Arabidopsis thaliana: one gene and its partners. The protein of the gene in region 1 interacts with the protein of each later gene in a pairwise test. Each region holds a gene or a part of one and is shown in the gene's direction. Other genes may lie near its edges. The genes, in order: ERF13, AT1G10650 and AT3G05000.

What was found.
Region 2: the proteins of ERF13 (region 1) and AT1G10650 interact in a two-hybrid assay, tested with the Arabidopsis thaliana proteins (one large-scale study listed by BioGRID).
Region 3: the proteins of ERF13 (region 1) and AT3G05000 interact in a two-hybrid assay, tested with the Arabidopsis thaliana proteins (one large-scale study listed by BioGRID).

What each region holds. Positions count from the first base shown.
Region 1 is NC_003071.7:18,493,501-18,496,916, forward strand, and holds ERF13 (ethylene-responsive element binding factor 13), read left to right. Parts: upstream 1-1,714; 5' UTR 1,715-1,939; coding exon 1,940-2,620; 3' UTR 2,621-2,827; downstream 2,828-3,416.
Region 2 is NC_003070.9:3,523,482-3,528,267, reverse strand, and holds AT1G10650 (SBP (S-ribonuclease binding protein) family protein), read left to right. Parts: upstream 1-1,736; 5' UTR 1,737-2,168; intron 2,169-2,296; 5' UTR 2,297-2,359; intron 2,360-2,864; 5' UTR 2,865-2,949; coding exon 2,950-3,058; exon of another isoform or gene 3,059-3,148; coding exon 3,149-3,519; intron 3,520-3,606; coding exon 3,607-4,146; 3' UTR 4,147-4,282; downstream 4,283-4,786.
Region 3 is NC_003074.8:1,386,617-1,390,450, reverse strand, and holds AT3G05000 (Transport protein particle (TRAPP) component), read left to right. Parts: upstream 1-1,619; 5' UTR 1,620-1,753; coding exon 1,754-1,905; intron 1,906-2,378; coding exon 2,379-2,496; intron 2,497-2,578; coding exon 2,579-2,801; intron 2,802-2,978; coding exon 2,979-3,007; 3' UTR 3,008-3,276; downstream 3,277-3,834. Other genes in the region: Cand2 (Protein of unknown function, transmembrane-40), read right to left, coding at 66-257, 564-848.

The sequences.
Region 1 (3,416 bases):
GATTAACGAACAAGCATGAGATTAGTCTTTATTCATTTCATTAGAACATGTAGCTGGGAACTACATGAACAAAAAATCCCCACATTTCATAACAAAAAAGAAAAGCCAAGTCCTAGGGAATAGGGATCATATAGGTAAAACGATAAAAGGTTATACTATGATACACTTTTTTCATTTATACGTTAATTAATGACTGGATTAGTGTTTTCTCTATAATCTTCTCAGCTATAGTATTTAACTAATTAAACAAGGAATAGTTTCTACAGTGATTTTCTTTAAATAAAGACTTATGTTGAAAGAAATCAAAATAGTAAACCATAGTTGAAACAAAACATCCATTTTAATAACACATTTCGTCTTTTTAATGTCCAAAGCAGCCATCAGCCATGTGGATTAATTGGTGCTTTATGATAAGACTCCAAATCGTTGCGTAGGACGTTGGTCTTATTATTACTCCACTTGATTTTTGATTAAGCCGACTTTAACGGGCTTTTCCACAAGGCATCACCTACTTGTGCCTTGGCCCATTATCAAAAAACCTAGTAGAATATTCTCACGTCATCTTTCCCACGTATATGTGCACGACGTTTTTGTTATTTTGTACGTAAACAAGAGGACTGGCGTTTTTATATTCCGATAATTAAAATACTGAATATAATTATTTAAACGATTTGCATTTGTCTGTGTAGAGATGTTGTTGCAACGAAAGGAACGATTAGAGAGAATAAAACGAAAGTCGCAATTAAGAAAACGTGTCTTTGACAGTCACAGTGGGTCGACTTAACCTTTCGACGTCAGACTTAACAATATTTTATTACATTCAGCACGTGAAAATTGCGTTGTTTCCGATTAGTTTTATTTTTTTAATGGGAGTTGCTTATTAATGTTTTAAATTTGGAGGGATTTATACTTTATTCCTGAAAAAACATAAACGAAGAATGAATCTAATCTTTTGTTTATTGGTGAGTAACTAACTACCTATATTCAATTTCATACCGGAAAATTTTGTATTATGTACTAATATACTTTGTTAGACTCGTCGTTAACGACTAAACGAATCTTGTAATTTTCCATAGCTTTCTTGACTTCCACTGTTGTATTGCGCGTTTCAAGTGTTTTCAATAACTTATATTTGCTCTTCTCTCTCTCTCTCTCTCTCTCTTTTTTGTTGTTGTTGTTGTTCACTTTGATGAATCTTGACAAAGTTTACAAAGTTGACTCTATTTAAGCAACCAATGGCAAAAGATGATCGAGTGAAAACCTATTATGTGTATATAGCACTAAACATTATTTGATTAACATCCAAAGATATATATGAGTTTATACAGTTTCTTAGTTTTTAAATCGGTGGATTCTTTTTTAACAAAAAAGGTTTAAGATCTTGTAGATTGATTTTTGTTCGTCAAAAAACTTTATTATAGATGGATTTTTGGTGAGTACAGATAGGCCACAAAAAGTGAATTTAACTAATTTCTTAATCAGTTATTTAAAATCGTCAAGTATATATGGATTATCATTTTATAATGATTTGGGTTACAAAATATCAAAGAACAGCCAACAACAAAAAAAGAAATCGAAGAACAAGATCATCTATAGAAAAAAAGACAAATATTACTGAAAAAGAAAGACCAAAGACCAAAAGTCCAAACAAAAATAAATAACTAATATTTTTGTCGCTGTTCTATTTTAAGAACGAGGCAAAAAAAGAACAGAAAAAAAGAAGAAAACGAATCTTCTAAGAACGTAACAACTATCATCAAATCAAAACCTCAAAGAACCTTCCATGGACTTTCTCTCATTCCATACCTTTATAAACTCATACACAACTACTTATCTCTTCACTTCATTAGTCTCCAAGAAGAAAACATCTCTCACTCTCTAAAATACACACTCTCATCAAAAACCTTCTCTTCGGTTCAGAAGCATTCAAGAATCCATTATGAGCTCATCTGATTCCGTTAATAACGGCGTTAACTCACGGATGTACTTCCGTAACCCGAGTTTCAGCAACGTTATCTTAAACGATAACTGGAGCGACTTGCCGTTAAGTGTCGACGATTCTCAAGACATGGCTATTTACAACACTCTCCGTGATGCCGTTAGCTCCGGCTGGACACCCTCCGTTCCTCCCGTTACCTCTCCGGCGGAGGAAAATAAGCCTCCGGCGACGAAGGCGAGTGGCTCACACGCGCCGAGGCAGAAGGGGATGCAGTACAGAGGAGTGAGGAGGAGGCCGTGGGGGAAATTCGCGGCGGAGATTAGGGATCCGAAGAAGAACGGAGCTAGGGTTTGGCTCGGGACTTACGAGACGCCGGAGGACGCGGCGGTGGCGTACGACCGAGCGGCGTTTCAGCTCAGAGGATCGAAAGCTAAGCTGAATTTTCCGCATTTGATTGGTTCTTGTAAGTATGAGCCGGTTAGGATTAGGCCTCGCCGTCGCTCGCCGGAACCGTCAGTCTCCGATCAGTTAACGTCGGAGCAGAAGAGGGAAAGCCACGTGGATGACGGCGAGTCTAGTTTGGTTGTACCGGAGTTGGATTTCACGGTGGATCAGTTTTACTTCGATGGTAGTTTATTAATGGACCAATCAGAATGTTCTTATTCTGATAATCGGATATAATTAGTTTTAAGATTAAGCAAAATTTGTCCAACGAGTTTTGCTGTATGAAATATCTATCGATGACTCAACAGGTTTTGATCATGATCATATGTAATGTGATGGAAATTAAATATTGACGTTTGTTTTTTTCTTCTAAATTCGGTTCCATAGTAAAACTTCTATAATAATCTATTTTCTTATATAACTAGGAAAAAAAAGATTTCAAATAGAGCAAGTAACAATCAATGTGGGATGTATTATATTTCTACTAATCATGGGCTTACTAGTCTATTTAGAGCATGCCCATTAGTTAAGAATTAAGATAGTAGGATGTATCATGTAGGGATACATAGGATTTGTGTTTTTATTATCGTTTTGTCACGGCTAGTCTTTTTCCATTTGTGGAATTGTTGAGTGGTTTGAATTGTCAGCATTGGAAGATTTTAGGAAGTTGGATAGGCTTATCTTGAGACATTTATATAGTTAGTTATTCCGGTTTCCGTTTGAAACAAAGTCATTACATGATGTGGAAGTCGAAGTTGATGGGTTGTCATGATGGTATGTAATGTGATGGAAACACAAAGTCTGCTCTTGGTGTGAAACTAATAATGATATCACGAAGTACCATCATAGAATCCAGAACACGTCTTTCTTTCCCTATATAAGAATATTTAGATTATCACCCAAAACAATATTCCAAAATACAACATATTGTGGGAAGAGTTGGTAGAGATGGTTGTGGCAATGTTGAGGGCAATGGAGGTAGTCCCATTGTCGGGATAGGCAGATTTGGAATTTGGGGAAGAGGTTGTATTGG
Region 2 (4,786 bases), on another chromosome or scaffold:
AATTAGTAAGCAAATTAGAGGGTTTTTTCAGCCTAGAGAATCGCTGTTAACAACTTGAAAGAAAAGCAAAGGTTATGCACTGGACAATGGACATAGTCAAAAGCTATAAGCATAACAAATCCTCAACTAAATATTAATTGGATATCGTGTAACGTTACAAAAGAAAACTATAGTACACATAATAATAAATTGATTGCGTCTGTGTGGTTGCAACCACTAGAAAACCTTTTGCTTTTTCTTTTTCAAAAATTATATTCCCTCTTTTTCATTTGGATAAATTAATATTCCTATTTTACGAATGTTAACAAATTTTTACACGATTTAATTTTATTAGTGCAAAAGTTTTCCAAGTAAGTAAACTATAATTACCTTCCGACAAATCTGGCGTGCGACGGTTTGGTCTGGTCCACGTTTCGAGAAAGTCACGGTAACTACTCTATAAGGCTTCTTCTTCTTTATTTCCCCGCCAAAACTTACCCGCCATATTTGCCCAACGACCAGGCGCGTGGATCCCACTCGCAAATAAACGGCTCCTTTTTCTATTATCACACCAAAACATTGACTGAGATCACGGCGGACACGTTCTCGTTGATACCTTCTCCGTTACCGTCGCATGAATTTGAGTAAGTAAATGGGGATGTCAAAAAGACAAGAATACCCCTAGGGTTAGTTGACCATCTCTCTCCTTCTTCTTCGACTGTCATAATTCCCACACTGTGGAATCCGTGTCCTGCCTGACTTTGAATTTGACGTGAAACCATTATTCATTATTCATTATTATTATCTCCGTTCACATCTTGTATATTCATTTTATTATTACATTATAATAAATATAAAATAGGAAATACAGTGTGTTGATGGTCGTTGAGTGATTTTAAAATTAGGGAGACAGAGTTTGATTTTTCTATATAAAAATAAATAGTTCTCATGATGTACATAGCAACATCTGTGTTCGTCGTTCGTGGTATTGATTTAATCGGTGGAATATTTTAAATTATATATATATATATATATATATATATATATATATATCAATAACGCCTCTCATGGTATGGACTTCCAGAGAATCCAATTTGAATTGTTCACATGTAACACCCTACATAAATTATAATTATCTGAAAAATTTCAATGGTTTAATATTTCATATTTTGATACGTTTCAAAATGACAAATCTCTGCCGTAGTAAATGATATTCGATGTGAAAAAAAGAATCCTAGTTGATATGAAATGGCTTAAACTAGATACATGTGGAATCATGCAATGAGGTATTTATACTATTTCCTTACTGAAATTTAATCATATTCCACATTTTTAAATTACCTTATTCTGTATTTTTTATTTTTTGTTTTAGTCAAAACAATTTTTCAAAAATTAACCCTAAATTAGTAATTTCATTAAGTCATTTAATTAATAACAATGTTGGTGATAAACACGTTTTAAAAATATAATCTCACTATTTTTATTCAAAATCTTTAATGGTTGTATATATACCTTCCATATATGCATTAGCAATATAACTTCATCAATGATGAATCTAGTAAAACTTGTTATGTAACGTTTTGCGAACTATATTAAGCAAAATTGTTTTCAAAATTTGACTATTCATTTCCATATCCTAATATTACACATCTCTAATTAATATAGTATCAGTCAAACCTATAATTTTATGGGATTTGTAACAAAAAAGAAGGAAACCAAAAACAAAAAAAAAGAAGGTAATAATGAAAAGTTGGCGTAATGAAAGAGAAATACACAACTCACGAAAGAAAAGACGAGAAAGCACCACCAACGGTTCTTGTTTGGTGTTTACATTTACTATCAACCATTTTTTGTTTCTTTTCTCAAAGTTTTTTTTTGTTTTGAATGATTCAAAAAAAAAAAACGTATTAATAATTTCATATCGAAAATCGCCAACCCAACTTCCCCCACTTCTTCCACCACTGTCCCGCTCCATCGCACCCGCTTTGCTTACCACATCCATCATTCATTCATTTCCTTTCTTTCTTTCTTCTTCTTCCGTTTCTTTTGCCTCTTTCTTTTGTCTTCTTCCTTCTATTTTTTTGTGGCTTTAAATTTATTGGGTTTTGTTCTTCTTCTTCTTCTATAGCCGTTTCATCTTCACAATAGCATCTTCTTCTTTTTTTCCCTGTCAAGATCCTGAATCATCGGTTTGTCTCTCTCGATTTCTTAACCTCTTTTTTTTCTTTCTACAAAAATAATAATTATGGGCTATATAAAAAAGTATTTCTTTCTTTTAGTTGATGATGATTTTTGTTTTCCTAATATATATATGCAGGATCTAGAAGGAAACTAGAGTTTGTGAAATCAGATTAAATCTTGTGAGAAATCTCTGAAAAAGGTATAATTTTTATTTTCCTCTTCTTCTTCTTGTTATCATTTTTTTCCTTTTTGGGGAAGATTGCAATATTTTTAGGGTTTTCTGTTTCTGGGTTATGACTTGTTCTTTGAACTTTTGTTATCTTTCCATGTTCCTATAGATTTGCCTTATATCAGTATCTGTTAAGTTGCATATTTATATGGAACTTTGACTTTTGAACCAATCAATCAATCTCTTTTGTATCCCCTGTTTATCAGACAAACAATTCATAAGAATCTTATTGCTTAGGTAAAAATGATTATAATTCTCCACAAGTCTCTCTTTAGCATATAGATTTGGCATCAAATCTGTTTCTGTGATCCAGCATTGTCTCGTTTTACTATTCTCTGTTTTTTAACTCTGTTTGGTATTTGGTGTTCCAAATGTAAATAGACAATGATTCATGTTTTTTATTTGAGTATATGTGTTAGATTAGTTGCTTAAGACATGTCAGAATCTTGATTTTTCTATTCTTCTTCTTCCTTAGCTGCAGGTTTCTATACTTCTGTTAGTACTCTAATTCAACCGAGAAAGTCGAATACATACACACATTCATAACACTTTTGAGGAAGATGTTAAGTGGAAACAATGGAAACACTGCACCACCGGTTTTCATGAACGAGAACCAGTTGCAATACCAGACAAACCTACGATCGAATCAGCTTCACTTGCTCGGAAACAGTAAGTTTCGTTTTCTCTCATAATGTCCTCGTCGTAAACTAAACATCATTAAGAAACTTAGAATCTTTGTCTGTTTTTCTTTTTGTGCAGTGGGAGGTGGATGCACTGTTGATCCAGTAAACTACTTTGCTAACGATAACCTCGTTCCAATGATCCGCCCTAACAAAAGAGGAAGGGAAGCCGAAAGCATTAGTAACAACATCCAAAGACAACAGCAGAAGCTTCAAATGTCTTTGAACTATAATTATAACAACACTAGTGTTCGAGAAGAAGTGCCTAAAGAGAATCTAGTCTCAACTGGTCTGAGACTATCTTATGACGACGATGAACACAATTCTTCAGTGACTTCTGCTAGTGGTAGCATTTTAGCTGCTTCTCCAATCTTTCAGTCACTCGATGATAGTCTTCGGATTGATCTCCATAGACAAAAAGATGAGTTTGACCAGTTCATCAAGATCCAGGTACTGATTGTCTCTGCATGTAGGCTCTGTTTTTACGTGAAAAGGTTCTTCGATTCTAATGTTTTTGTTTGCTTTTATGTGGTTCAGGCAGCTCAAATGGCGAAAGGTGTGAGGGATATGAAACAGAGACACATCGCGTCTTTTCTCACAACATTAGAGAAAGGAGTGAGCAAGAAGCTTCAAGAGAAAGATCACGAGATCAATGATATGAACAAGAAGAATAAAGAGCTTGTGGAGCGGATAAAGCAAGTGGCAATGGAAGCTCAGAATTGGCACTACAGAGCAAAGTACAATGAGTCTGTGGTTAATGTCTTAAAGGCAAATCTCCAACAAGCAATGTCACACAACAACAGTGTGATAGCTGCTGCAGATCAAGGCAAAGAAGGTTTTGGAGACAGCGAAATAGATGATGCAGCTTCATCATACATCGATCCAAACAACAATAACAACAACAACATGGGGATTCATCAGAGGATGAGATGCAAAATGTGCAACGTCAAGGAAGTATCGGTGTTGATAGTGCCATGTCGGCACTTGAGTTTGTGTAAAGAATGTGATGTATTCACTAAGATTTGTCCTGTATGCAAGTCTTTGAAAAGTTCTTGCGTCCAAGTCTTCTTTTCTTGATTTGTGACCAAATGGAACAGAAGGAAAAAGAGAATCCATTATATAAGTCTTTCATACTCTTTTTAAAAAAATATTTTGTTATATAAATTTATTTGTATCGGTGTATTATTATGCATCTGTTTTAGAAGATCCTAGAAAAGTTATGAAATAAATTATTTATATGGATCAGTTGTCTTGAAGCAGCCAATGTAAAACAAACGCATGGTTACCATGAGCTTCGATTTTTGTCATCTCATCAACAATCTGATTGCTTTTGGATATGGAAGGGCTACTACTACTACTTTCGATTCATAGACCACACTTTTATTTGGGCCAACTACTGGGTCATTTGGTCCTTAAGACAAAAAAAAATAAGGGAAAAAGTTGTAGGTCAAATAATGGGCCACGCGTATCAGCCCATATAAACCAACCCGTACTTTTTTGAATTATATAACATGAACCGTCGTCTTATATGTAGACTGCATCTGCTTCTTAGTGGGCTCGAAAAATATTAGAAAAGCCCATATTGGCTTTTATATTAGGTCTTTTCTAAACAACGCATTGAACCCAACCAGAAATAACTGATTAAACCGGTAAATAGCCAATTAAAACCGGAAATACGCGTCTCGGACAGAGATGAAGTTGTCTCAAATCAAACGTG
Region 3 (3,834 bases), on another chromosome or scaffold:
CCTCAAGGAAGTATATCTATCTATATATCAGAAAGTGTATCTAACAGTTATGAACACAAATCTACCTTGAGAAGCAAATCGAGACCAATGACAAGCCCCGAGATGAGGAAAGTTCGTGTTAATGCTTCAGCACCGCTTGCATAGTTTCCTTGGAAGAGAAAGGCTACCAAGCTTACTTCCAGAAACAACATTCCAGATGTTGTGAACAAAGTTAACAAATTCCAAATAACTTCTTTCCCCGGAGTGCATTCCCATGCCTAAACTCATGAAAAGTAAATTCAAAACGAAATCTGGAGTAAGACTAAATCAGGTAAAACATTTCCTGTTAAGCAGCATCTAACCAAGAAATCAACACTAATAGCTTACACAAAATACAAAAGCTTTCTAATCACCAGTGTAGAATAAAAACAATGTTGATAAGATCGCAAAGTTTCTACATTTACAGAGCCTAAAACACTCTAAAAAGCATTCTTCTTCAATCTAAGTTCTGATCTCTTTACACGCAACATAGGTATGAGTTACTTGTGAAATGAATCGAAGTAAAGAAGAGAACTTTAACAAACCTGAAGGCAACACCAAGCAAGATTGAGCAAGCTAACAAGCCAAAGAAAACCATAATAGGCAATCATAATGTAAGATCTCCGATTAGACAACTTGGACAAGCTCTTCTTCGCCTCGTACGCTAAGTAAGCGACGAATAGAATAGATGCTAAAACCAAAACCGTGTTATGAAGAAACCCATGACACTTCCCGACCCATCCGCCGATAAACCCTCCGGTGGCCGTCGAATCAGGGCTTAGCCGAGAAATCACGAACGGTGACTCCGCAATCTCGCTGAGCACTCGCATTTCATCAAATTGTACGAATCAGAAACCAAGTAGACTTAGCGCAAGGAGCGGAAAGCAATCCCTAGTTCCAGAAAAGGAGCTCAATTTCGAGATTTGATGTTTTTGCGATACAGAATTCGTATGAATCGTATATTTCTTCTTCTCTCTGGCGACCAAATCCATACACTTGACGCAAACATGAGTAATTACACAAAAGTTAAAGGGTATTATAGGTAATTATCATCGCTTCTCCCACTTCCACTCTAAAACAAAAAAAAAAAACTATCATTTTTCTCATCCTTTTTATTTTTAACTGATTTTACATGTGATGTTTAAAGAGTTAATTATTGGACATGTGATGTTTAAAGAATTTAAATATTATTCTTTTCAATTCTGTATCTTAAATTTGAAAGACTTATTACAAGCTGATCTAATTTCAAAATCAATCTTATGAAATGTAAATTTTTGAAGTGCTATTTAATAATCAATAATGTGTTATTCTTTTTAATTAAATTAGAAAACGTGGGAGACAATTGTCTCTCTTTTGCCCACCAAAAAGATATTAAAAAAGTCCTATTCAATAATCATGATTTATTTATTTATATTTATATCTCATATTATACAAGTAAAATTGATTTTTAACCATAAATGATCAGCATTCAGCACACCAAAAGTAATTTCCATTCACTTGAAATAATTGTATAAATCGGGTATTTGAAGGAAAATTGAACCAAGACGATCCGGTTTAAATGTCAGAGATTAAGGTTATCATGACTCTTTAAAAAATGAAGTCACAGATCAGAAATAATAGAAAACTATTAAGGACTTAAATGTAAATACTCTACAAGTTAATAGATCGGAGCTTCGTTGCATAAGCCCCAAACCGGTGGAGAGAAGACGGAAAGAGTCTGAGAGAGAGAGAAGAAATGGGGAGAGAAGTGGCGGAGAGCTGTGTAGACACTATGTTAATGGAGATGGTGGCGATGTACAGTGGCCGATTCTATGCTAACAAGCCGGAACTCGCCGCTCGGAGGATCGAGGCCATTGGTTATCAGGTCGGCCACCAGCTCTCCGAGAGGTTTGTTTTACACTTGATCATCGTCTTCTTTCGATCTGGTTGATCATTGTATCTCTAGGTTGCTAGTATTAGTTGTAGATCTGAAGATGATGGCGAATGTATATCGTTAGCAATGATTCTCTTTGATATTGGATTTATCGTTTCTCGTGTGTAATTGGCTGAGAATGTGATAGATGGGAAGATATATGGCGCTGATTCGAGTTTTTTTCTCATTGCTCTAGTGGCTAATTTTTGTATTTAATCGTGCAATGTTTTGGTTAGGAAATTTTCTTGTTGTCTCAGAAGAATGATTCTCTTAGTCCCTGATTAGTTATAGTGTGTGTGTACGAAGAATGATTTTAGTCTGTTGAGGCATGTTTTGTTGCTTCTGAAGGTGTTTGCCTACATAAAAACTGTTTTACAGTGTTGTATGATGGCAGATATTTAGCATTTTACTTGATTGTGCATAACTTCAGCCTTTTTTATGTCGTTAGGTACACTATGGAAAGACCAAGGTTCAGTGACCATCTAGAGGCAATCAAGTTTATCTGCAAAGACTTCTGGTCTGAGGTCTTCAAGAAGCAGATTGATAATTTAAAGACAAATCACCGGGTAAGATAACTGGGATTTTACCTGAACAAAGACCAAAACTCTTCTTGTGTGTGTTATTCACAGATGGAATGTTTCTCTTCAGGGTACTTTTGTATTACAAGACAACAAGTTCCGGTGGTTGTCTCGTGTCTCAATTGACCCTTCATCTGAGAATGAAACCCAAGATCCTTCTACTCCAGGGGAAAGCAAAGCTGCACAAGCGGTGAGCATGTACCTCTATTTCCCGTGTGGAATCATTAGAGGTGTCCTCTCCAACTTGGGGATACCTTGTGCTGTCTCTGCAGATATATCAAGCCTTCCCACATGTGAGTTCACAGCTTGCTTTGCTTGTTTTCGAAATTCTTATATTCTTTCACTTTCTTCTATATTCTCAAAATCACACATTGGAGGGAAGAAAGATAGAAAATTATTTCAAATATTGCTTATTACCTGTCATTATAAGTTGCTTCAGTTCGGTAACTATCCTTGTCATGTCCTCACAGGCTCTTTCGTGATTCGGGTCAAGGCTTGATTCTGCATTTAGCTCGAGTACTTGGCTTTATACTTTCAAGGAAGATAGATCCTTCGGGTCTGATCAATCTAAAACCCATTGCAGGCTTCTGTTTGCTGTTCTTTTGACACACTTTAGCCTTGTGGTGCTTGTTTTAAACAGTGAGGGCTTGGTTTCATGTTTGAAATGACTTTTATTTTTCTGTTGTAAATTTTTGTTGATATCTTATATACAGTAATTCCTGATGCATCTCCATTTCATATCATTTTTAAAAAAGGCGTACATTTGGGAAAACTTGAAAAACTCTTTTTGAAAAAATTTATACTACAAAAAAAAACTAACTCGATATCCAAATTCCAAATCGTTTGGTTTAGTGGAGCTTTCTTCTCGGCCTTGGTTAGCCAACTTTCCAAACTCAGAAGAAGTCACTGATTTGGGAATTAGGTCTGGAATCCACACTCTTCTAAGGTTCTAGAAGACAACGATTGTTATGTTTTAATTTGTCTCCTATTCGTTCCATGTAATTTTTAGTTTTTTTTTTGTTCTTGTGAATCTGACTCCTGTGTAAGGTGGTTTGACTTCTTATTCTAGGGTTTCAATTTCTCACATCTTTATGTCGATTCTTCATTTGTTGGTAGTGTTCCGGCATCTGTCTTTGGAGACGTGGTTCGTAATCATCTGATTGTTTTGTAAATTATTTTTGGTTGAGTGCTCATAGAGTCTAGTTTAAAAATCTAATGTTGGTGTTTTGCTTACTCTTGAGTCTTAGTGTGACGGTTTAGAACTAGGAACTTCTAGGTTAATCAATCACAATTATGAAAGTAAGTAGTCTGACATGATCCGAATCA